Linked DNA regions of Canis lupus familiaris. The protein of the gene in region 1 purifies or fractionates together with the protein of each later gene. This does not show direct contact. Links are inferred from orthologs where the notes say so. Each region holds a gene or a part of one and is shown in the gene's direction. Other genes may lie near its edges.

What was found. Proteins that work in one complex are often made in the same cells at the same time.
Region 2: the proteins of SINHCAF (region 1) and SAP30L purify together in Homo sapiens (affinity purification with mass spectrometry; 3 studies listed by BioGRID and IntAct, counting the BioPlex papers as one, with this or other methods). This does not show direct contact. The link is inferred for Canis lupus familiaris from reciprocal best matches to the Homo sapiens genes SINHCAF and SAP30L.
Region 3: the proteins of SINHCAF (region 1) and BRMS1L purify together in Homo sapiens (affinity purification with mass spectrometry; 3 studies listed by BioGRID and IntAct, counting the BioPlex papers as one, with this or other methods). This does not show direct contact. The link is inferred for Canis lupus familiaris from reciprocal best matches to the Homo sapiens genes SINHCAF and BRMS1L.

Annotation. Positions count from the first base shown.
Region 1 is NC_049248.1:29,113,212-29,117,954, reverse strand, and holds the end of SINHCAF (SIN3-HDAC complex-associated factor), read left to right. Parts: intron 1-1,445; coding exon 1,446-1,605; 3' UTR 1,606-3,550; downstream 3,551-4,743. UniProt on the Homo sapiens protein: Subunit of the Sin3 deacetylase complex (Sin3/HDAC), this subunit is important for the repression of genes encoding components of the TGF-beta signaling pathway.
Region 2 is NC_049225.1:56,124,159-56,129,389, reverse strand, and holds the start of SAP30L (histone deacetylase complex subunit SAP30L), read left to right. Parts: upstream 1-1,864; 5' UTR 1,865-1,879; coding exon 1,880-2,077; intron 2,078-5,231. Other genes in the region: uncharacterized protein LOC111095576, read right to left, coding at 929-998.
Region 3 is NC_049229.1:14,648,036-14,653,264, forward strand, and holds the start of BRMS1L (breast cancer metastasis-suppressor 1-like protein), read left to right. Parts: upstream 1-1,862; 5' UTR 1,863-2,013; coding exon 2,014-2,155; intron 2,156-3,108; exon of another isoform or gene 3,109-3,214; intron 3,215-5,229. UniProt on the Homo sapiens protein: Involved in the histone deacetylase (HDAC1)-dependent transcriptional repression activity. When overexpressed in lung cancer cell line that lacks p53/TP53 expression, inhibits cell growth.

The DNA of each region.
Region 1 (4,743 bases):
ATTTTTTTTTTTTTTTTTTAGGATTTAATTTTTATTTATTTGACACAGAAAGCACAAGCAGGAGGAGCAGCAGAGGGAGAGGGAGAAGTTAGGCTCCCCACTGAGCAGGGAACCCAATGTAGGACTTGATCCTAGGACCTTGGGATCCTGCCTATGAAGGCAGACACTTAACCTACTGAGCTACCCAGACGCCCCCAAATGCCTACTATCTTAGCAGTACTTTAAAGATGTTTGACAAATCTGAATGTTCATCAGGGTTTAAGATAAAACCCTTATTAGTTAATAGGAATAGAAAGGAACCACATTGATAAATAACTGGCATTTTTGGGTAAACACAAACATGTTTCCATTTTATATCCCAGCAACAGAACCTATAAAAAACCTTTAGGAAAAAAAAAAAAAACCTTTAGGCATGCATTAACGTGTATGGCATGTTTATAATAGCAGTTGTCCCATCCAAAGGAGAGTGGATAAATAAATTATGGTATATTCACTTGATAGAATATGATACATAAAATGAAATAAAAGCCCTAACAATAGGTATGAACCTCAATTAATGTTGAGCAAAAAAAAATTGCAGGATAGAGTGTGACTCCATATATGTGTTGTTTTTTTAATTAATTGGACATAACCGAGCAATATATGTAGAGATGCAGACATGGTAAAACCATGAAGTGTAAAGAAAAAAGTAATGATAGGCTTAAAATTAAGAGGAGAGAATGAGATGGGGTGGGGTGGAATTGGAGAGGGGCATAGAGGGGAACTTCATAGGAAAAGGTTCTTTTTTTTCCCTTATATGTGGTCCATGGTGTTTTGTTGTACTCTCGTTTTTTTAAGCTGTGGTGTATATTTGATTATATATATTTGCCAGTTGTATCAGCCTGTTTATGATGGCTGGGTTTTTTTTCAAGAGTTACTGATTTTGGGCAGCCCCGGTGGCTCAGCGGTTTAGTGCCGCCTGCAGCTCAGGGCGTGATCCTGGGAACCCGGGATCGAGTCCCACGTCGGGCTCCCTGCATGGAGCCTGCTTCTCCCTCTGCCTGTGTCTCTGCCTGTCTCTCTCCTCTCTGTGTATTCTCATGAATAAATAAATAAAATCTTTAAAAAAAAAAAAAAAAAGAGTTACTGATTTTTAGAGGAAACAGTTTATAACTTTAGGAGCCGTTTCTGAAACTGTTATCTCAGAATGACCCCTGTCCCCTTTAATACTTGGTAAGATTCCAGTGTGGGATTTAAGGGACCTGGGTAATTCCTATAACTTAGCTAATTGGGGGCCTTTCTAGGAGCCTTCATTTGAAATGTGATGAGACCAGAGAAGTGAACCCTTTGATCATGTTGTATTGTTACAGTGTTATAGATTTCTCCCCCCTTTTTTTGTTTTCTTGTATTACTAGTTTTCTACCTTATTAATATATTTCTCCCCCACCCCCTTTTTTTTCTTTTAGACAGAAAATATGTTGTGGAATTATCTATAAAGGCCGTTTTGGGGAAGTCCTCATTGACACACATCTATTCAAGCCTTGCTGCAGCAACAAGAAAGCAGCTGCTGAGAAGCCGGAGGAGCAGGGGCCAGAGCCTCTGCCCATCTCCACTCAGGAGTGGTGACTGAGGTTTAGGTAGAAGGGGAACAAAAATGATTTAAATTTTGGAAAGAAAACAAAGCAACAAAACCCTCCTATTTTTAACTTGGATACATGCTATTCTGCCAAAAGACAATTTCTAGAATAGTTTTGAATGGGTTATTTCTTCTCCAGTTCCACAAACTCTGAAGCCAGTGTCTAGCTTACTGAAAGAAAAAAAGAAGTGTACATAATATTTAAGATGCTGAGTATTTCATAGGAAAGCTGAATGCTGCTGTAAAGTGCTCTTTAAGTCTTTTTTTTTTTTAATCCCCTTCTAATGAATGAAACTAGGGGAATTTCAGGGGACAGAGATGGGATTTGTTGTATGATAAACGTATGTAGTTTTAGTCTTTCTATATTGAGAAGCAGTGGTTGGGGCATTTTTTAAGACGGCTATCCTTGTTTTCCTTCACGATAATAAATTTGTCATAACTCAGTAACATGGACTTGCCCCTAGAGGTAGTTGTTAATAATTCTGAAAAAATAAGGTCTTGCCAAGGTTCTGATGATTCAAACCTGTACTACTGAATATGAAGCAGGACAGACTAAGCTCTGGCGCAAATACCTTGAAGGAGTAATCTCTAAATATACAGAGAGGTAACCTGACTGTATATGTTGCATCCTGTGTCACCTCCATATTGATATTTGATAAAAGATTTTTATCTATATTGAAACTTCTAAAGCAGAGTCAAATCTTTGGGGAAATGTCAAGTTTTAGGATGAGCAGTCCTAGATGAATAGTACCAAAGCATTACCACCTGGTAGAGATCACATTCTGTTAAAAAGGTTAAATTATCTTAAAAAAATGTGCAAGTCTTCAGGATGGCGCACACAAAAAAACAAAGGTTAATGCTTCTTGGGGCACATTTCTTAGAGGGCTTGCCTAGTGTGTAAATAATTGACTTTTGTTTGTGTTACATGACTGGTGACTTCATCGAAAATCTGCACAATTCAGTTTTAGCTCTGGATTACTTCAGTTGACCTTTGTGAAGGTTTTATCTGTGTAGAGTGGTTGTTTGACTTGTTTTAACCTATTAGGGTTTTGGGTGGTATTTTTTTTTTTTTTTTTTTCACATATTAAAGTAAAATTCTACTAAAAGAAAAGAGGTGTGTGTTAATGCTGAGTGGGTTGGCTTAGGTTTGGTTTCTTCTAGTCAGGCTTTTTGAACCTTGAGATATTAGACGATACATCCTGAACATGGAGCTCTTCAGTTCTAAAATCTTCATTTGAAAGCCTTTTACTTGAACCCAAACCAAAGTACTCTCATTGCCTCTTTTCTAAATGTTCAGAAAAAATGTATCACCAGATCATACTTTTCATAATAAGGGAGGATCATTTGCCTACCTTATATTAACATGACTCAGTGCTTATTTTTAAAACTGGATTTTTAAAATTGGATAGTATAAATAACAATAAGGAGTGAGCCACTTTTTATGGGCACCCTATAGTTTTATAGTTCTTAATCTAAACTTAAAATTTTATATTTCTTCCTTATGGCAAAAACTACAAGCCACCATATATGCACAGACTACACAGTGAGTTGGGTTGGCTCTCCCACAGCCGTTGAGGTGTGTTACAAGAGTCCCGGCCATGATCATCTTCCTCCTGTCATTTTGAAATGGTTTGTTTTTTTGTTTTTTTGCTTTTTGTTTTTGTACATTTTGGCTACAGTATTGGTGGTAGAATATACTATAATATGGATCATCTCTACTTCTGTATTTATTTATTTATTGCTAGACCTCAACCACAGTCTTCTTCATCCCCTTCCACCTCTTTGCCTGTAGGATGTACTGTATGTAGTCATGCACTTTGTATTAATATATTAGAAATCTACAAATCTGTTTTGTACTTTTTATACTGTTGGATACTTATAATCAAAACTTTTACTTAGGGTATTGAATAAATTTAGTCTTACTAGAAAATAAAAGAAGCTGTTCTGTGGCTTTGTTTAAAAGGTGTTCCTAGGTAAGAATGACTAATGTATTTGGCTTCACAGATACTCAGTTTAACGCCCTTAGTATTATAACAAGCCATGAAGGGAAAAAGTCCTCTTTATCAAGAGATGCTTTAAAATAAAGACATTTTGGGGATCCCTGGGTGGCTCAGCGGTTTAGTGTCTGCCTTCAGCTCCGGGTGTGATCCTGGAGTCCTGGGATTGAGTCCCACGTCAGGCTCCCTGCATGGAGCCTGCTTCTCCCTCTGCCGGTGTCTCTGCCTGTCTCTTTCTGTGTCTCTCATGAATGAAAAAAAAGATATTTTAACTGATAATACCCAGTAATTAACCTAGTAAATAACATGATTTTATTACTGAAGGACAAATTCTCGAGTAGTTGGTTGATTTCTTTTTTCTCTTCCTTTTTTCTTTTCTGTTCTGCTTTTTAAATTTTATTTTATTATTTAAAGTCTAGGGTTTTGGGCAGCCCTGGTGGCGCAGCGGTTTGGCACAGCTTGCAGCCTGGGGTGTGATCCTGGAGACCCAGGATCGAGTCCCACATCGGGCTCCTTGCATGGAGCCTGCTTCTCCCTCTGTCTGTGTCTCTGCCTCTCTCTCATTTTATTTATGAATAAATAAATAAAATCTTTAAAAAAAAATAAAGTCTAGGGTTTTAATGTCTCTGACACGGTTTTATTATTACTGTCTAGGCATAGTGGGAATCATAATTGAGACTCTAAAGAAATTATAAAAACTGGTTATAGGGACAGGTGGATTTCAGCATTGGAGTCACACATGGTCTCTGATATCTGGCTCTGATCCTTTATTAGCCATTTGAGTCACTTGGCCTTTGTGAGCCTCCAAACTTACGTAAAATGATATACTTTACCGAATTATTTACTTCTTAAAATTATGAGGAATCTATAAAGGGATGTAATCCGTATCAAAGTTTTTTTTTTTTTTTTTTTTAATTAAGATTTTGAGAGAGGGATCCCTGGGTGGCTTAGCGGTTTAGCGCTGCCTTCAGCCCAGGGCGTGATCCTGGAGAACCGGGATCGAGGCCCACATCAGGCTCCCTGGATGGAGCCTGCTTGTGTCTCTGTCTCTCTGTGTCTCCCATGAATAAATAAATCTTAAAAAAAAAAAAGATTTTAATGGAGAAAAAAAGCAAGTAGGGGCAGAGGGAG
Region 2 (5,231 bases), on another chromosome or scaffold:
GGTAGGCCAATTTCCTGAAATGGCTGTCCTGCGTGTGCAATTACTAGGCTAGAGGGTACAAATACGTTTAAGGTCACAGAAGAAAATTTCAGATCACAGGGTGTCTGCTTCCAAACATGGAAACCGGTAGCTTGCCCTTTTTCATCAAGATACAAACCAGAAGCCTCTAGAATGCCAAGCCTACCCCCGCCCCCGCCCCCGCCCCCGCCCCATCCTGCCCCGGTCAGTGCTAACCCGTCCCCAGGCGCGGGCCCGACTGCGGGACCTGGGCTCGTCGCCGTGGGCCAGAGGCCCGGGTGTGCCCGCCAGCTGCCCGGCGGCGGCCGGCCTGGGGTGCTAGCCTAGATTTCCCCGAGGCCCTGCTGGGTGTGTGCGACGCCCTGGCGCCCAGCCCCGAGCTCGGGGAGTCGGCAGGGCACGGTCACCTCGCGGATACCTCGGGAGGCTGAGAGCCACAGCAGCCGCCGCTGAGAGCCGCGGGGAGGGCTCGGGACGCTGCGAGCACTTCCCCCTGGCGGACGCGGGCCCTCATCCTCCCCGCCCCGACCTCTTCCTCGGGTCCCCGGCGGTTCCTCGAGCCCACCCCGCAGACCTCCCCCCGCCTCCGACTCTTCCCGGCCGAGGGGTCTCCCAAGCGCCCCGGGGGCCCCTGCCTCCCTGCCTCCCTCCCTCCCGCTCCCCGCGCGGCCCGGGTCTCCGCCCCCCTCGGCATCCGACTGCCTCGCAACACCCGCCGTCAGACCCCATCATCTCCTCTGCAAGCCCTTCCCCGCGTCTGCGCCCGGCTGCCCGTCGCTCAGCCCTTGCCGCCGCGTCCCCCGACCCGGGCCGCGGCCCCCGCGTTCTCCCCGCGCGTCCTTCCCAGGACAGAACCCCCAGCCGCGCCGGTCCCCCTCAGATGCCCCTCCGCGCCCCGCCCGCGCAGTACTGTACGCCGCCGAGCGTGCTCCTCTGTCCTGGAGTCTGGCCCTCCGTCCAGTCAGGCCCCGGCTCACCATCCCTCCCCCGGCCTGAAAGTCAGCGGCCGCTTCCCCGCCCGCACCCGGGCAACTCTTCCCTCTCGCACTTTCTCTACTTTGAACCCATCCCAGCAGAGTCCAGGAAGTAGCCAGGCGCCGGGGACTGGCGGCGGAGGCGCCCAATGGGGCGCGCCAGCGGCGGCGGCGGCCCCGCCCAGAGGGTGAGCACGGCCAATGGGCGCGCGGAGGCGGGACTTCCGCTGTCCCGCGGAGGGCGGGGGAGCGAACTGTTGTGGTGCGGCGCGTCGGGCGGGCGGCGGCTGGGCGGCCCAGGGGCTGCCGCGGGACTCGGGGCGCAGCCGAGCGGCTGCAGGGGTGGGGCGAGCCGGACGCGCCCCGGGGCCCGGGCGCCGCGGGTTCGAGGCCGGGCCCGGCGCGGGAGGCCGCGCCGCCCCGGGGGAGCTGCCCGGCGGTGAGTTTGCCCCGCAGCCGAAAGAAGGCGGGAGCCGGCGGGGGCCCTCGGAACCCCCTGGCGAGCCGGGCCCGGAGTCCCCGGGGAGCGGCTGCTTCCTGGGGCGCCTTCCCGGACGCCCCCGCCGAACGGCAGCGGTTCCGGGCCCCCGGCGGCAGGCGCCTCCGGGTGACCCCCGGCGGGGCCCTGCGAGCCGCGGCAGCCGACCCCGGGGCCTCGAGCGGGGAGGAAGGGGCTTCCCCGAGGCGCGGGGCCGGCGGCCGGAGGAGCGCGAGCGCGGCGGAGCGGAGCCGGGCCTCCCCGGCGCGGGGCAGGGCAGCGCCGCGTCTGCGGACGGACTCCGGGACCCTCGGGCGCGGGGGCCTGGGCGACCTGCCCCGCGGGGCGCGCGGCCGCGGAGTGGCCTGCCGGGGACCCCCCCGCAGAGGGGCCGGCCCGGGGCGGGGAGATGAACGGCTTCAGCACGGAGGAGGACAGCCGCGAAGGGCCCCCCGCCGCCCCCGCCGCCGCCCCGGGCTACGGCCAGAGCTGCTGCCTCATCGAGGACGGCGAGCGCTGCGTCCGGCCCGCGGGCAACGCCTCCTTCAGCAAGAGGGTCCAGAAGAGCATCTCGCAGAAGAAACTCAAGCTGGACATCGACAAGAGCGTGAGTCCGCCCCCGCCCCCGCCCCCGCCGGGCCCCCGCCGGGCCCCCGCGCGCCGCCCCCCTCGGCCGCCGTCCCCGGCTGCGGGCCGGACCCCCGGGGCCCTCCCCGCCCTGGGCCTCGCCGCCCTTTATCTGCAAACTGGGGAGTTGCACTCGGGATTTCAAAGGCCGCTTCAGCTCTGGCAGGCTCGGACTGGGATCCTGCCCAAATCCGGGAGGCTGGGGTCCGGGGGGGGGCGGGGGGCGGCGGTGTTCCGAGGACCTTTCCTGCCTGGGAAGGTCTGACGGCAGTTGAGGGCTTGCGGTATTGGTTTTGATACTGGGGCAGGGAGACCTGGGTTAATCCTGTTGGCCCACGAAGCTGCAAGTGTTGGGGAGGGGCGATGAAGGGACCCGGCTCTTCAACTGCTCTCTCCTCGGAACCCTGTGATCGCTTCAGAAAAGGAAAGGGGGCAGTTACTTCCCCCCACCCCACCGCCTCAAGCCACCGCCTCGGCTTCTGCAGAGGGTCACCGAGCTCGCTGCTTGCTGCTTCGCATGCAGCTGCGGGGAAATGGGATTTTCAAGGATGTGGCGGAAATAAGGCCAAGACCAGGTCTTGGGAGGTGGCTGTCTGCAGTCCAAGTGACCAGGAGGAAGAAAATCCATTTTCTTACGGGTAGCTTCTTTAGAAAGGCAGTTGGAGAAGGGGCGTTACATTTGAATAGAATCGCCCTGTGTTTTGTGCCTAATTATAGGAAAACTTTTCCTGTGTGATTTCACCACTTCTAGTTAACAATTCTAAAGATGTGCCTATTGTCAACCAATTAAGAACTTTTTAGTTTGACATCTGTTGCTGCAAGCCTTAAGTGGCTGCCTTGTGATTAGGAATTGGAAATGAGTTAAGGGTGCCTTTAATATTCAGGTAGACCAGCTAAGAGCTCAGGTGGTTAATATCCAGTCTCCTTTAGGACCAAAATTCCACTGTTGGGGAAAATTAGAGATTGCTTGTTAAACTGAAAGGACACACACTTTTCTGCTTCGGATCTTAGAGTGGACACTGAGGCCTAGAGATAAGAAGTGACCAGGCCAAAGTCACACAGTGACTAAGAGGCTGGTTAATTTCTTAAACCCATTATCTGACTTTCTTCTGAACACTATGCATAAGCTTTGATTAGGTCTAAATAAATAAAAAATCTTACTGCCTCTTCTTTCAGGCTCTTCCCTCCCATTCCCCTCCTCCCCCGCCTTTCTTTTAAGGTAACAATCAATATATTTGCCACTCTTGAAAGATGCTGTTTTTTTAAAAGGCCGGGGGAGGGGGGGGTTGTCAGTTAATGGCTTTCTTACTACAAATCTGTACCAATGAGTGAATGAAAGGAATTCAGAGAGCAAACAACTGGCTAGACACTAAGGAGGTCCAGATTAGGACATGTGTTGAAGTGAAATGCCTAATTCTAAGACAGCAGTGAATTTATCCTCTTGGAAACACTGCCTACCTTTTGTGTAGGTGGTTGGGAGCCTTTACTTGAACAGCTTATAATATTTTCCAGTCCTTAAAAAAAAAAGAAAGAAAGAAAAAGAAATTTCCAGTTCTTTTAAATTCTTGGATGCCATGACATCTGAACAACTGTGCTGCCACTCGGGGTCCATTTACCCAGTGACCCCACTGGAAAACCTGTGTTGAGCTATGTTGGTGGTTTCACACACAATGTCTAGGAGAGAGGCCGCATGAATGTGGCACTAGAGTTCCCCAAAAGTAATGTTTCTGGAGGAGTAGTGTTTCAAGGTGGAATCACTCACAATTTGTTTCAAGGTGGTGGTATAAAATCATTATTTCTGAAGGGGGATTCTACTTCGTTCTCACAGGCTTGGGCAGGAATTCAATTCTAAGTAACTGCCGTGTCACAAGAATTTTAGCTGTTGCAGAAAGTGAAACAGAAAAGAAAAACACTGGGGCTTTTGCCACCACCCTCGTTCCTCCACCCCTAGCCCCCAAAGGCCACTGAGCTCTGAAATTTCTGAAAATCAGTACGTACTTGAAAATCATTAAGGAGAAATAATGACTATTTATCTTGTAAAAGGGCCTAGCAGAAAACCTTTTAAAATAATAGCACCAGAAATCCAACTCAGGCAAACTCATTTCATGTAGACATTGGCAGTGCTCTATGAGTTATTAATATATAACATGCAATCAAGCATTCCTCCAATTGACATATTTCTGCTTTATTCTGGAGAAAAATGGAAGTTGAGAATAGTATAAAGAAAATGTTGTGGTAGGAAAGGACATGCACAAGGGGTCAGAAGGCGTGGGTGACCTTGGCCAAGCTCACAACCCCATCTGTGTGGCTTCTGTTTATCTCTGTAGAAAATGAGATTGGGGCCAGTGGGGTTACACTGGTGATTCTAAGTTCTCTTCCATCCAGAATTCCATTATTCTAGTGTCCTGACCTAAAACCTCCTGGCCACAGCTTCAGGAAGCCCCCTCCGCTGTCTGTTCTACCAAGCATGCCACTGTGAATTTGAGGAGCTGCTTAATCTCCGGGCTTACATGTGGAACTGGCTAACGTGAGGGCCAGCTTCCCATCAGGAACAGAGAGTATGGTGTGCGTGTGCTTTCTTCCCTGCCAAAAGCATGTCCGGCGGTCTATACATCAACTAGGCGGGATTCATTGGGACGGTGACACAAGCTGTGTCTGAAAGTCCTGTGGCAGAGTTGACACTGGCAAAGCTACTTGACTCTGTAGCCATACGTAAGGGCAGCTTTTGCTGGCCTAAGCTGCTTTTGGACGGCAGGGGCTGCCTGTCCTGGTGCAAGTGCACTTAGAGAATACCTGCTGTCTGCAAGATACAGTCACAGTAGCAGCTTAAAAGTGCTCAGGACTCACCAATCCAACCACATGAAAGTGGTGATTCATCTGACTAAAAAGCAAGTTTCATTATTTTCTCCATGAGAAGGCCTGAATTAATTGATGCTGGCTTCCTATCAGCTTATTTTTGTCTGTATAAATTTATAAGGAATAAATTCAAATTCAGAAGTCTCTCTAGAACATTTGTGTAGCATCTGTTCCAGTGTCAACAACCCCAAGTCATTTACACAGGGCTTCGTTTTGGTTAGGGTTCCGAGTGGCTCCTCCAGCCACCCCTAGTACTTACATTCTTAAATAAAAACATG
Region 3 (5,229 bases), on another chromosome or scaffold:
CCTGGGTGGCGCAGCGGTTTGGCGCCTGCCTTTGGCCCAGGGCGCGATCCTTGAGACCCGGGATCGAGTCCCACGTCGGGCTCCCGGTGCATGGAGCCTGCTTCTCCCTCTGCCTGTGTCTCTGCGCCTCTCTCTCTCTCTCTCTCTCTCTCTGTGGCTATCATAAATAAAAATAAAAAAAAAATTAAAAAAAAATTTAAAAAAATAATTGGCTGGAGCTAAAACAGTTGCCCCCTTTAATCCGCACCACTCACATAATGTATATCCATGTGCTCGCACCGTTCCAGTTTCCATCTTTGAACTTTACCTGACTTTAATGTATGTTTCTGAAATTGTATCCCAGACTAAGACTGTCTCTGCTTTCAAGGTACTCACCATCTAATTGGTGGGGCGCATCAGCCAAAAAATTCACAATACAGTGTGATAGAAAACAAATATAAAGGACAAAGTACAGCAGCAGTCTGAAAAAACATGAGTGCATACTGAATGGTGGAGGTACTGGTTTGGTAATGCATGTTGTCAAGAAAATGCCTTTGAAAAAAAAGAGATGGGAGAGGATTGCAGAGAGAGAATAGGATGTGCAAAGACATTGGAATGGGTGGGGAACTGTGTGTTTAGCAACTGAAGAGTTCAGTTTTGGAGAATCTAGTAAGAAGGAGAGAAGTAGGCTGACACTAGATGATAAAAGCCCCTTAATTTGGATTTTACCCTACAGAAATTGGTAGAATTTGAAATGGTTTGTCATTAAATTCTCAATCTAACTTTAATGCAGTTATGCCTGGATACCCTTACCATTCTCCTTCAAATGTCTTTGGACTTCGTTGGAGAAATAAATGCTGTACAATTCACAATATTCTATGAAATATTTCAATAGCAAATTACCACTTCAAGAAGCAGCTCTGTCTTCTAAAGAGTGGCTAAAATACAATTTTTTGATTTGCCTGCAAATTAAGTTTCCTTATCTGTAAAATGGGGATAATAATAGTACCTACCTCGGAGAGATTAAACCTATGGAGAATTAAACTCATTATGACTCATGTAAAGAACTCATCAGGGCACCTAATACAGGGTAAAAGTAGTCAGTTAATAGGAGTTATTATGATTATGGATTATGATATTTATTGAGACTTCCTTGTCTATTTTACCATCATTGAGAAAAGCTAACATTTCATTGAGTCAAATGTGTATTTTTCATCGAAAATTTAAGTAAAATCAAGCCTAGTGGCATCTTCAGGCTGTATGTAGTAAAAAAATGAATGCAAAAAATACTTGATGAAAATGGCAAGATAAAACTTCCTCCCTTTCTATATTGTTGATTGCAAGTGTTTCAAGAACGGTTTAAAGATTTTTGTGCAACATAAAAAGTACAAGTCATCGTCTGCACTTATTAATTAAAAAGCTTATTAACGATAATAAAGGTGCTTAGGTGGAAGTTTCTCCAGTTCCTCCAGGCTCAAAGAAAGGAAGAAAACCCTCAGGCAAAAGACCTTCTCACATCTGACAGTAACATCTTGGATGGCACTGGAGCTTGGACAATCATTTGGCGGGAAAAGAATAAATACGGTCCAAATTCACACAATCTGTTTCTGTTTAGTTTATAAACTGCGAGCGAGTCTGTCAGGTTTTGTGCCTTGTGGGACTTGAAGTCCACAAGCAAGAAGTGAACAGGGTTGCTGAAGCTTGGAAGGCGGCAGCCCCTGCAGGGCTGAGCAGTAAGGACTACGACTCCCGACACACATTGCAAGGCCGCGCCGTAATTACGGGCAACCAACCATCCCGGAGCAGGGGAAGCCCCACCCCCCCGGCTCGGAGGACTGCCTCCACCAATGGCAGAGCTCCCAGCTCAGAGCCTGCGGGTTAGGTTGTGAGGCACGGGCCGGGGGCGGGGAGGAGCTGAGGGGGTTCAGAACGCGCTCGGCCGCTGGGTGGGTCGGGGCGTTCGGCGCGCCCTTCATTGAAGCGGCGGTGGCTGGGCTGGGCGCCGGGAGTGGGAAGCGACGGCGCGGCTGGAAAATGCCAGTCCATTCCCGAGGGGATAAGAAGGAGACGAACCATCACGATGAGATGGAGGTGGACTACGCCGAAAACGAGGGGAGCAGCTCAGAGGACGAGGACACGGAAAGCTCGTCGGTCTCCGAGGATGGAGATAGCTCAGGTGTGCAAGCCAGCGGGGCCGGGAGCCGGAGTCCTCGCGCGGGGCGCACGACAGGCCGCTCTCCGCACGCCGGGCAGCTGCGTCCTGCTGGGAGTGCGGGGCGGGGAGAGAGGGAAGGGGCGGAGACTGGCTCCCGGCCCTCGGCAGCACCCGGACTCGTCGTGGGGCGCTGCCTGGCTCCAGGCGGGTCCCTGCCGGCGGGGCGGGACCGGGCGCGGGCCTGGGCTCGCCCAGCTCCGAGACGCTGCGCCGCCTTGCTCGCCGTGGGACCCGCCCAGGGGACCTCCGGGCAGTGCCCGGGACTGGACCAAAGCGGGAAATGCCCCGCAGCTTGTTTGGAAGACCTTGGAAATGCCTCTTGGCCCCAGACCACCGACTTCTTTCCTTTTTCTTTTCTTTTCTTTTTTTTAATCTTTCCAACCCTTCTCAACATGGGTGGGTTGTCAGGGCCGAGATTAGTTAGATTTGTGCTGGCTCTTGCTGGTTTAGAATTTGTTAATCGCAGTTTCCAAGCCTGTCAGTCAATACTTGACATTAGCACTCTTGCGGGGGCTGGAGCTGTCCCATTTACAGCATCTGTCTGAACTTTGCAAGACTAGAGGAGAGCCCACGTCAGGGGTGGTTTTGGGTCTTCATATATGCTTATAAATTGGCCGATTTGGAGCAGCTCTGAAATTTTCCAAATCTTTATTCCTGCGACCTTTTCTGATTTCGGGCTGCTTCAGGTTTTTTGGGTCGGAGGGCAGATTAATATCAAGGTCAATTTTGCAAACTTTTAGGATGGTTATTAAAAAAAGAAATGGGATATGTGATTGCCTGTATTATTTTTCTTCTTTCCATTTGACGAGGATGAAACTTTAATTTGTCCTGGCCTGATTTTGGCCGTGTAAAGCGAGGATTTGATGATGGTCAGTTATTGCCCTGACACCCTCTTTTTTTCAGGTTTCTCTTTCAAAGGTCTCCATGAAAGGATGTAATTTCAATCAATAAATTAGCCATCTCCAAATAGGCATTTATGAGTGATTTCCTTGAGCTGCATTGGGCACCACTCAGTATGAGGTATAAATAAATGGTTATGATCTGATCTCAATTAAACAGCTGTCATAAATCAGTACTTGAGTAAACTGCCAGATGAATACTTACCTGTAAACAATGCTTTAGGATTTCAGAGGCAGAGGAAATCTTTTCAGAATAGGGTGGCCAGCAAAGGCTAGTTGAAAACGTGGGCTTACTTTAATTATCTTGGAGAATGGATAGAATTTGGATGGTATAAATTCGGGTGGTATGTTGGATTGGGAGGAATGTAAGAAAAAGTGCAAAGGCTAGAGCTTAAGGCTTAAAAAAGTGAGAAACCAGTTTTGTTGGAAGAAGGACCTGAACTAGAAAAGGAAAAGAAGATACAAATGTGAAAGATTTCCCAAAAGGCACAAAACAGAATTGATGTATGCAAGTTTAGGAGTGAAGGTAGGAGAAAAAGCCCAGGTACAGGGAAAATGGTAGTAGCATGAATGGAAATAGAAAAGTGAAAAATTTGAGATGAAGATGCAAGATAGAGTATTTCAGACATGTTGTTTATGAGGTGATGGTGGTATATTTACTTCAGAGTGTCAATTGACAGTTGGAAATGTGGCATTGGAACCTGGCTGGGATTAGAAGCATAATTTGGAAGTCATCTGCCTAGCCATCAAAGTAGGTGAGATTTCAAAAGTGAGCAGTACAGAGAAAGAACATCTAGGCTGTACGTAAATACATTTTCTAGATCTGTAGAACACTTGATCTTCAAGTGTTCTTTGTTTTTTTGATGAGAACTAGGATCTCACGAAATGACATCTATTTGTTAAAGTTCTCCCTAATTTTTACGCTGGCTTTTGTAATTTTTCACTGATTTTTATTCTATCCCAATTAATAATGGACAACTTAATTTTGAAGCATGTAATAACAATTTGAATTACAAGTCAATTTTTAAGTGCAAGGACATCACTTAAATTATGCAGTTTTGCTTCTTGTGAAAGCATTTCTTTTCTGCTATATGTCTTTCATGTTAAACTTCCAGTTTTGTTCTTCTCAAACATTGGTACTGAGCAGATCCTAAAGCTACAAAATAAACTCTACTATCCAGAGATATTGGAAAATGAGTCATCTTGAGGGACCAAGTTTTAAATAGCCAAGGAGTAACCTATTAAGAGCCAGAAATAATTTTAATGTTAGGAAAGTTAAATGAACTCTATAGTTACTTGCTGTTTGAAAATAACTGAACATAACTTAATTCTTTCACATAGTTTGACGTTTATTTGCAGATCAAGATGCAGATCATCTTGTGTTTCACTTATCTTGAAGTGCTGAATATATGTGATGTAAAAATAGAAGATATGGAATATAGGAAGAGAGCTGCTGATTAACAGTTGCTTTACTTGAAAAGTTTGCTTGTTTTTCTCTTCATTTTCCTTTTTTTCTCACAATATTTTGGGGAGAGGGAACAATGAGAATCTGAGTAGGAGACTAAGATATCTTGTAAATAGAATGAGATTAGTTTTCTTTTTATGTGACTGGCAAATCAGTCATGTAAGCAGTTCTGAAAGAATTCCAAAAGTGTTTTTGAGCACTATTCTTTAATGGACATAATCATTTTGGTGCTTAAGTTCTGTGGAGTTGATGGAAAATAAGCCCAGAATGGATTAATTACTTCATATAGTATAGCTTGATGTCAGCTCTTTAAAATGATTTAAAAATGAATAAAAATAAGAAGGTCTAGAGATTGCTATAGCTTTAACTGTCATTTGTACTTTAAGCTGAAATCTGTAGTGGAAATTATTTTGGATAAATGTTTATTTTCTCTAAAGGCTTTTTAAAAACATTATTTATTTATTCATGAAAGACATAGAGAAAGACTGGCAGAGACACAGGCAGAGAGAGAAGCAGGCTTCATGCAGGGAGCCCAAAGTCGGGCTCGATCCCAGGAACCTGGGATCATTCCCTGAGCCGAAGGCAGACGCTCAACTGCTGAGCACCCAGGCAACCCTTTTCTCTTAAGGCTTAATATAAGCCTTGCATATCTAACTTCATATTATAGTTTT